Linked DNA regions of Coturnix japonica. The protein of the gene in region 1 purifies or fractionates together with the protein of each later gene. This does not show direct contact. Links are inferred from orthologs where the notes say so. Each region holds a gene or a part of one and is shown on either strand. Other genes may lie near its edges.

The links. Proteins that work in one complex are often made in the same cells at the same time.
Region 2: the proteins of PPP1CA (region 1) and WDR92 purify together in Homo sapiens (affinity purification with mass spectrometry; 6 studies listed by BioGRID and IntAct, counting the BioPlex papers as one, with this or other methods). This does not show direct contact. The link is inferred for Coturnix japonica from reciprocal best matches to the Homo sapiens genes PPP1CA and DNAAF10.

The regions. Positions count from the first base shown.
Region 1 is NC_029520.1:169,989-173,733, forward strand, and holds PPP1CA (serine/threonine-protein phosphatase PP1-alpha catalytic subunit), read right to left. Parts: upstream 2,856-3,745; 5' UTR 2,706-2,855; coding exon 2,546-2,705; intron 2,153-2,545; coding exon 2,021-2,152; intron 1,941-2,020; coding exon 1,710-1,940; intron 1,316-1,709; coding exon 1,211-1,315; intron 1,138-1,210; coding exon 914-1,137; intron 743-913; coding exon 608-742; intron 526-607; coding exon 415-525; 3' UTR 227-414; downstream 1-226. Other genes in the region: cell cycle checkpoint control protein RAD9A, read left to right, coding at 53-151. UniProt on the Homo sapiens protein: Protein phosphatase that associates with over 200 regulatory proteins to form highly specific holoenzymes which dephosphorylate hundreds of biological targets.
Region 2 is NC_029518.1:373,505-377,247, reverse strand, and holds the start of WDR92 (WD repeat-containing protein 92), read right to left. Parts: upstream 2,840-3,743; 5' UTR 2,810-2,839; coding exon 2,621-2,809; intron 2,537-2,620; coding exon 2,436-2,536; intron 2,366-2,435; coding exon 2,235-2,365; intron 1,925-2,234; coding exon 1,823-1,924; intron 1,229-1,822; coding exon 1,113-1,228; intron 927-1,112; coding exon 792-926; intron 707-791; coding exon 609-706; intron 360-608; coding exon 152-359; 3' UTR 1-151. Other genes in the region: RNA-binding protein PNO1, read left to right, coding at 2,906-3,076, 3,151-3,300, 3,592-3,675. UniProt on the Homo sapiens protein: Key assembly factor specifically required for the stability of axonemal dynein heavy chains in cytoplasm.

The DNA.
Region 1 (3,745 bases):
GGAACAGGACAGGCACGGCCCCCTCACCCTGTGTCTTTTCACCCCCCCAAAGTTCCGCTCGTTGTTTTTTGGCTCCGTGCTGACACCGGGGGGGCCTGGCCCAGCCCCCAGCCAGGAGGTGCTGGCAGAGGACAGCGATGCCGAATGCTGAGAGCCCCCATTGCGATGCCATGGCGCAGCAGCTGGCACTGCCTGGCCACGTAGGGTGTGATCCTAAAGCCACATCTTAAGACCCATTACAAGTTTATTCCCCAAAAAAAGCCTCCTGCCCTGCCTTCACTGCCAACTGAGGGGCGGGTCCTGCCCCAGAGGGTACATTTGGTACAGTAGAAAGCGGCAAGGGCAGGATCTGACAAATAAAAAAACGAATGGAGAAAGGAGCGACCTGGTGCTGGGGCTGCTGGCGGTGGACACTCACTTCTTGGCTTTGGCAGAGTTGCGTGGTGGGGTGACGGGGCGGCCAGCAGGGTTCAGCCCACTGAACTGCCCGTACTTGCCCTTGTTCTTGTCTGCTGGTTTCAGAATCTGCAAGGAAGTGAAGGGTGAGTGAAGGGGCTGCAGGCAGAGCCCTGTGTGCTGCCCCCTCCCCGGCAAAGCCCCAGCTCACTTGGAAGGAGCACATGAGGGTCTCGTCCACACTCATCATGGCTCCTGCGTTGTCAAACTCCCCGCAGTAGTTGGGTGCAGAGAAGAGGGTGACAAGCTGGCGTTTGGCAAAGAACTCGTAGCCGTCCTCCACCACCTGTGGGGCAGCAGCACTCATATCTCCCTGTTCTCTGTCCATAGAGCCCACCAACTCCCCCAGGGGGCAGCATCCCCTTCAAAAGAGCCCAACCACATCCTCAAGAGCAAATGGCCCCTCCTGGGAAAAGCTCCACCGTTATGGAGCCCAGGTGAGGCCCGACCCCATTACCTGGTGTGCCCTGCAGATGAGATCGAGGTCATGCTTGTGCAGGAACTTGGCCACCACCTCGGCCCCAAAGGTGAAGGACACTCCTCTGTCATTTTCACCCCATCCTAAGACATCTTTGTCAGGGTCAGACCACAGGAGATCACACAGCAGGCCCTGGTCGGGTACGTCCGTGGGTCGCATGATGCGCCGGATCTGTTCCATCGACTGCAAGTCAGGAGACAGCCCTGCACAGGAGTGTCAGGTTATGCTGTGTGGCGGCCTTTGGACCCAGGCGGCAGCCCCCAGCCCTGTGCCCACCTCCGTGACAGCAGAATATCTTCTCATCCACAATTGCTGCAATTGGTAAACAGTTAAAACAATCGGTGAAGGTTTTCCACAGCTTGATGTTGTATCGCCGCTTGCCTGTGAGGCAGCGGGGTGGGTGCTCACAGGAGCCCTTCATGTGGGCCATGTTCCACCCTCCCCACCCTCTGGTGTATCACAACACACACAGGGCAGCACTGAACCCTCCAGGGGGCTGGGGGGGTGGCCGTGGAGGTGGCTGGGATGGGGGTATGAGGTCTGCAGGAGGAGGTAGCTGGGATGGGGCATAAGGTCTGCAGGAGGAGATGGCTGGGATGGGGGCATAAGGTCTGCAGGAGAAAGTAGCTGGGATGAACATAAGGTCTGCAGGAGATGGGAAGAGCTGCAAATGGGGATGGAAGGGGGGACTTTGGGCTGGCTGTATCATATGGGGTTGGCAGTGAGGTGACAAGGCAGTCCCGTTTGTCAGTAGTGGGGCCGGTGCAGCACTCACACTCATCATAGAAGCCGTAGATGCGGTTGATGCTGGCACATTCGTGGTTGCCACGCAGCAGGAAAAAGTTCTCCGGGTATTTAATTTTGTAGGCCAATAGAAGACAAATTGTTTCTAAAGACTGCTTTCCTCTGTCAACATAGTCACCAAGGAATAGGTAGTTGCTCTCTGGTGGAAAGCCTCCATATTCAAAGAGCCGAAGCAAGTCATAGTATTGTCCATGGATGTCGCCTGTAAGAAGATCGCGGGGGACACGCGGTGACGCTGGCTCCCAGCCCGCCCCCTTCCCCTCCCCCCGGCTCGTCGCTCACCGCAGATCTTGAGCGGAGCCTCGAGCTCCAGCAGGATGGGCTGGCTCAGGAATATCTCCCGTGACTTCAGGCACAGCCCCCGGATCTCGTTCTCTGTCAGCTGCACGTTCTTCCCAGGCCGTGAGCCTTGCACTGTGCGGGGGTGGCTTTCAGCAGAGCCCACTCCACCCCCGGAGCCCGCAGAGCCGCCGTGCCCTAACAGTCCCGCACTAACGCACGGCCCTCCCGGTGCCCCCGGCCCTCTGCAGCCACCCCCCATCCGCCCCGATCGCCCGCAGCCCCCCTCATTCCCACAGCCCCCAGCGGCTCCCACCGCCCGGCTCCCCCCGGCCCCCCGCTGCCCCGATACCCCCCGCTGCCCCACAGCCCCACAGTTGGACCCCCAGAGCCTCGCACGGCCCCCGTTTCCCCGCAGGCCCCGGCCCGCAGCCCCGTTCTCCAGCCCCTCCTTGGCGGCACAGCGCCGGTCCTTCCCTCCCCTAGCGGCTCCCGAGGCGGTCCGGGAGCACTAGGCCCATCGCTCACCCTCCAGGAGGCGGCCGATGATGGAGTCGAGGTTGAGCTTCTCGGTATCCGCCATGGCCGCCGGACGCTGCTTCCCCCCCCCGCCCTGGCCCGCCCCGGTCCCGGCCCCGCGGCCATAGAGAGCGGCCGGGGCGAGCGGCGGGTGGCGAGAGCGCCCCATGGCGGATGGGAGGCCGCGGAGGCGCGTGGGGGCTGCGCGCTCCCACGAGGCGGCGCCGTGTCGTTCCCCGTGCCGGCCGGTTGCCCGGCGGCTGTTGCCGTTGTCAGCCTCGCGGCGCGTGGGGAGCCCCGCGGGGACGTGTGCCGAGAGACACGGTGCTGCCACCGGCTCCACCCGCCTCACTTGTGCCCCTCGTGCCGCCGTGCCGCCCCCACGTGCAGTACGAGCCGCGCGGTGCCGGCACAGCCTGGCCCGTTGCCCGCGGTGACACCGGTGACATTTCAGCCCCGCGGTGTCAGCTGCGCCGCTGTCCCCGAACGACCCCGGCAACTGTCCCCGCTCCGCTGCCGGCTGCGTGTCCCGCTGCTCGTGTCCCGCCTCCCCGTGTCCCCCGATCCGTGCGGCCCCACGTCGCGGTGTGCTCACATCCCGTGTCTCCGTGCCCCGGCTCCTCCGATCTACCCGTCCCCACCCCGACGTTGCTCTGTCACCACGTCCCCCACTCTCAGATCCCCCTTTTCCCGTATCTTCCCTTATCTCCGTATCCTCCGATTTACCCGTCGCTACGTCCCCGTGCCTCGTATTCCCAAATCCCCGTGTCCCCGGATCCCCGTAACCCCACAGATCCTTCTCCCCGTGCTCCCTCGTTCCCCATCTCCATTTCCCCATACGCCCCAGATGTTCTCATGCCCTCGCATCCTTGTCTCCACGCCCCATAGTTCCCTCACACCCCACACCTGATACCCCGCACCCCTGAATCCTGGTGCCCGCACACCCCGCACACCCCCCATTCCCTCTCTCCCCCCCTTCCCCGCCCCGCCCCGCGCCCTCCCCCGGGGACGCCCTTCTGCCACCGAAGGCGCCTCCGCCGCCGGTGCAGAACGGGCACGGCTCCGCGGGCACCGCCGCCACGACCGCCCGAAAGCGACAGCGACCGCCGGTGGGTGCAGGCGGCGCCCGCTCCACGCGTGTCCGAGGGTGTTGGCGTGCGCCGTGCTGCGCGTGTCCGGCGGTGAAATCGCGGGCAGCCGTTGCGCTAA
Region 2 (3,743 bases), on another chromosome or scaffold:
TATCTCAACTTTCAATAGAAAGATCTGGTCTCTATTTCCTTAATCCAGTTCTAAAAAGGGAGAAATTAGATTAAAGACAATAGGTCCCTCCCTCCCGTATGTACAGACGTCAAACTGTATTGCTTTCTCATCAGCAATCCCAGTTTTCCTGTCACACTTTGTTAAGCTTAGTAACTATCAGTACCCTCACAGTTTGGTCAAAGGCACCACAAACACACAGCCCCTTTTTGTCGGGGCTCCAGTCCAGGCTGGAAATGGGCTGTGTTGACAGAGTCACGTTCTGCAAGAGGCTGACAGAACCTGCCACCCCCATCTCAGCTCCTTCCGAGTCCTTCTTTGAGCGCTGAGCCGGGTACTCGCTGGCAGAAAGGAAAGGAAAACTGAGACAAACAGGAATCTCATCCTGCTCTTAAAAGACAGCACAGAAAGGTCTCCTCTGTTCTCAAGATAAGACAAATGTCTTCAAAATAGCGAGCCATCATATCCATCATATCTGAGCTTGGAAGTGAGTCCCCACGCACCATCTTTACAATGATTCTTTCTTTAAACAATAAACAGTTGTTTTGGTTCCTTATTCCCCTGTTATAGAGCAGACAGTGATCACTTACTATTTCCAGAGATGAAGGCTCCCAGCTCCTCCGCTCGTCATAAACACATCCCTGTTCTGCGGGAGGTGCCGAACCTGCCAGATGGTGGATTTGTGTGCCTAGGAAACAACCAGCATTGGACAAAAGTTCTGTACAAACTCCTGTACTACATGTTGCTAAAGGAATGATCCATCTCCCCATTACCTTCTCTGAAACAGAAGCAAAACCTTTAGTTGGGTGCTGAGTCCTCATATCGAAGACATGGAATTTTCCCTCCAGTGACGTGGCCACCAGCTTGTTCATGTTCACATCTTTCCTGTCAAACTCCACACTGCAAACCTGCAAAGAGTGAAACCAATACGTTCAGCCACTGCTACAAGCATATATTTGTGAGTGTGATTTGCAGACACGTATCTAATCATTGGTTATTCTTACAACAGCTTCACCAACTCGGCAATAACGCGATTGCCTGTAAACAGACACACACCACAGCTGGAATGAAGCCCTGCTTCCACAGCACCTTACCCCGTTCTTAATGTTGGTCTCCCATCGCAGTGACATGGCTTTTAAGTCAAACAACTTAATGTCCCCATTGTCGTATCCAGCACATACTACACGTTCCTCTTGATTGTAAGCATTGCCTGGACACAGAGACAGAATTGATCACAACACAGAAACCCCTCTTAGGCTGTAAATTTGAGACCTCTTAAGTCAGCAATTTCAACTTAGATTTATGCCAGCAAAGCATCATATAGTAGGATTTAATGAATTGAGAGCACAGAGTTTGGGATGGACATGGCCTGGGCTCAAGCATCCTGAATTCAAGAGCACAAGTTAAGCATCTCTGCTGTCTTTCGTTAGCTCTGGGGATTGTCTCTTACATTAATGTCTTAATGTCATCAGCAGATATTGGTTCTCCATGCACAATCACAGTTAGACCCCTCCAGGGCAAAGTGGTTTCTTTGCTTTTACATTCCTAGACATAGAAATGTTCAATTCCCACACTAGGGCTGTAAAAATGCCTAAGAATAAAGCTTGTCTGTGAAGTGATTGAGCAGAGATGGTAAGAAAACAATGCCTGAGCCAACTACCACCAAACGTGATGGAAAGACAGCCTTTAAAACACAGTGCAAAGACACAGATGTGATAACACCGAACAACAAACCCTGCCTTCAGTGGTTTGATTACTGTCAACACGCAGTGACATTACAGGGGGCTGTTATCAGACTGGTTACCAAAGGCCACCGTCCAGCAGTCCCTCTTGCTCTCTCCCTGCGCAGGTTCCATGTTGGCAACAGGAGTTTCCTTCTGCCGAGGGTCCCACACCTTCACAGTTCCTAAGGAAAGCAAAGCCATCAGTGTTACAGATGCACTGATGCACCACTCTTGGTTTCCCAGGGAAAGGCAGCCTGACGCCTCCAGACTATGTCAGTGTATAGGAAGAAATGAAACATAATACAAACAGAAAAGCACAGGGAAAGTATAAGATGTCTAGCTGCTATTTTGTATTTGTTCTGCTTTATGTTCCTCCTCTCCAGCTCCCAAAGGAAGCAGAGGAGGCTCATCCCAAAGGGCCGCCCTCCATTTCGGTGCCCACAGCCTGTAGTTCAGGGATGTCACTGAGCAGCTCAGCTCTCTCCCACTCACCATCCCGGCTGCCTGTCACAATTTCTGGGGCACCTTCCCCAATTCCGAGGCCTCCGACCCCATCGATGCAGTTAATGATTTCCTTGTGACCTTTCACGGAGTACACGGGGACTTCAGGAGCTTCTAAGTTCCTATGTGAGAAACAGATAACACAGCGTTGCCTTCAGTAGCCAGGAGCGCTGTAAGGAATCACACACCCACCAGATGCTGAGGCATCCCGCGAAGTCCCCTGTCGCCAGGTGCCGTTGCTGCAGGGAGGCTGCCCCGAAGGTGGCACATTTTATCGGTTTGGCCTTTTCGATCTGCAGATAAAGGACACGGTCGGCACCGTATGAAGCGTTAAACCCCTCGGCCTACGAGGTGCCGCCCCGCATCGCCCCGCTCACCTCGCTCAGCAGCAGCAGCCGCCCGGCTCGCAGCTCGTACAGCTGGATGAGGCCGGTGCCTCGCGGGGCGCTGCCGAGGCACAGCAGGCGGGCGCTGCGCGGCACCCACTTGCAGTCGAACACGGTGTAAGTCAGCGGCTGCTGCACGTGAACCACCACCTGCGGCCGGTCCAGCCCCGCCGCCGACATAACGAGCGACGGCAGCGACGCGGATAACGCAGGAAGCGGAAGGGACGGCGGGACGGGCAGGAAGTGGCGGTGGCTTTTCCGGCGGAGGGCCACGCTATGGAGTCTGAAGCGGATGAGAACGGGAGCGGCTTCACCAGCGTGGCTTCCAAGCGCGGCAGGAGGAAGCGGAGAGCGGCGGCTGCGGAGCCGATGGAGGCGGTGGATGCGGCGGGGCCGCAGCCCAGCAAGAGACCCGCCTTCCCACCGCTGCCCGCCGCGGCCATGGGGGTGAGCGCGGCGCCGAGGCGGAGGGATGGGGCGGACGGGCTGCACGTGTCCGCTCAGCGCCCATCTGTCCGCAGGTGGGGAAAGGGGAGGTGAGGAAGGTGCCGGTACCGGCCAACAGGTACACGCCGCTGAAGGAGAACTGGATGAAGATATTCACGCCCATCGTGGAGCACCTGCAGCTCCAGATCAGGTTTAACTTAAAGACCAGGAACGTGGAGATCAAGGTGAGCGCTGTGCTGTGTGTCCTCACGTTCCTCTCATCCCTCGTGTTTCATTGAAACCCGCCCAACCGGGCCTTGGGCACCTCCAAGGCACCCACAGCTCTCTGGGCAGCCTGTTGTCTTAAGCACAACATACACTACTGGTCTGCGCTTTCAGTAGAACACAATGCGGAGGTGGCATTACACGAACGTGGCTTTGGCTTTCTTTTATACAGCCAGCCTTTATCTCACTGACTTTCCAAGTCCTGATTCCGTTTGCCTGATAACATAGAAACGTATCTTCTCGTTCTGCAGACCTGTGCTGAGACCAAAGACCTCAGTGCTCTGACCAAAGCAGCTGACTTTGTCAAAGCCTTCATACTCGGCTTCCAGGTGGAGGTGAGTCTCCCAGCGGCCGGGTTGTGCTATTGCTCAATATCTTCAAGCACTCTGGACATGACATCAAG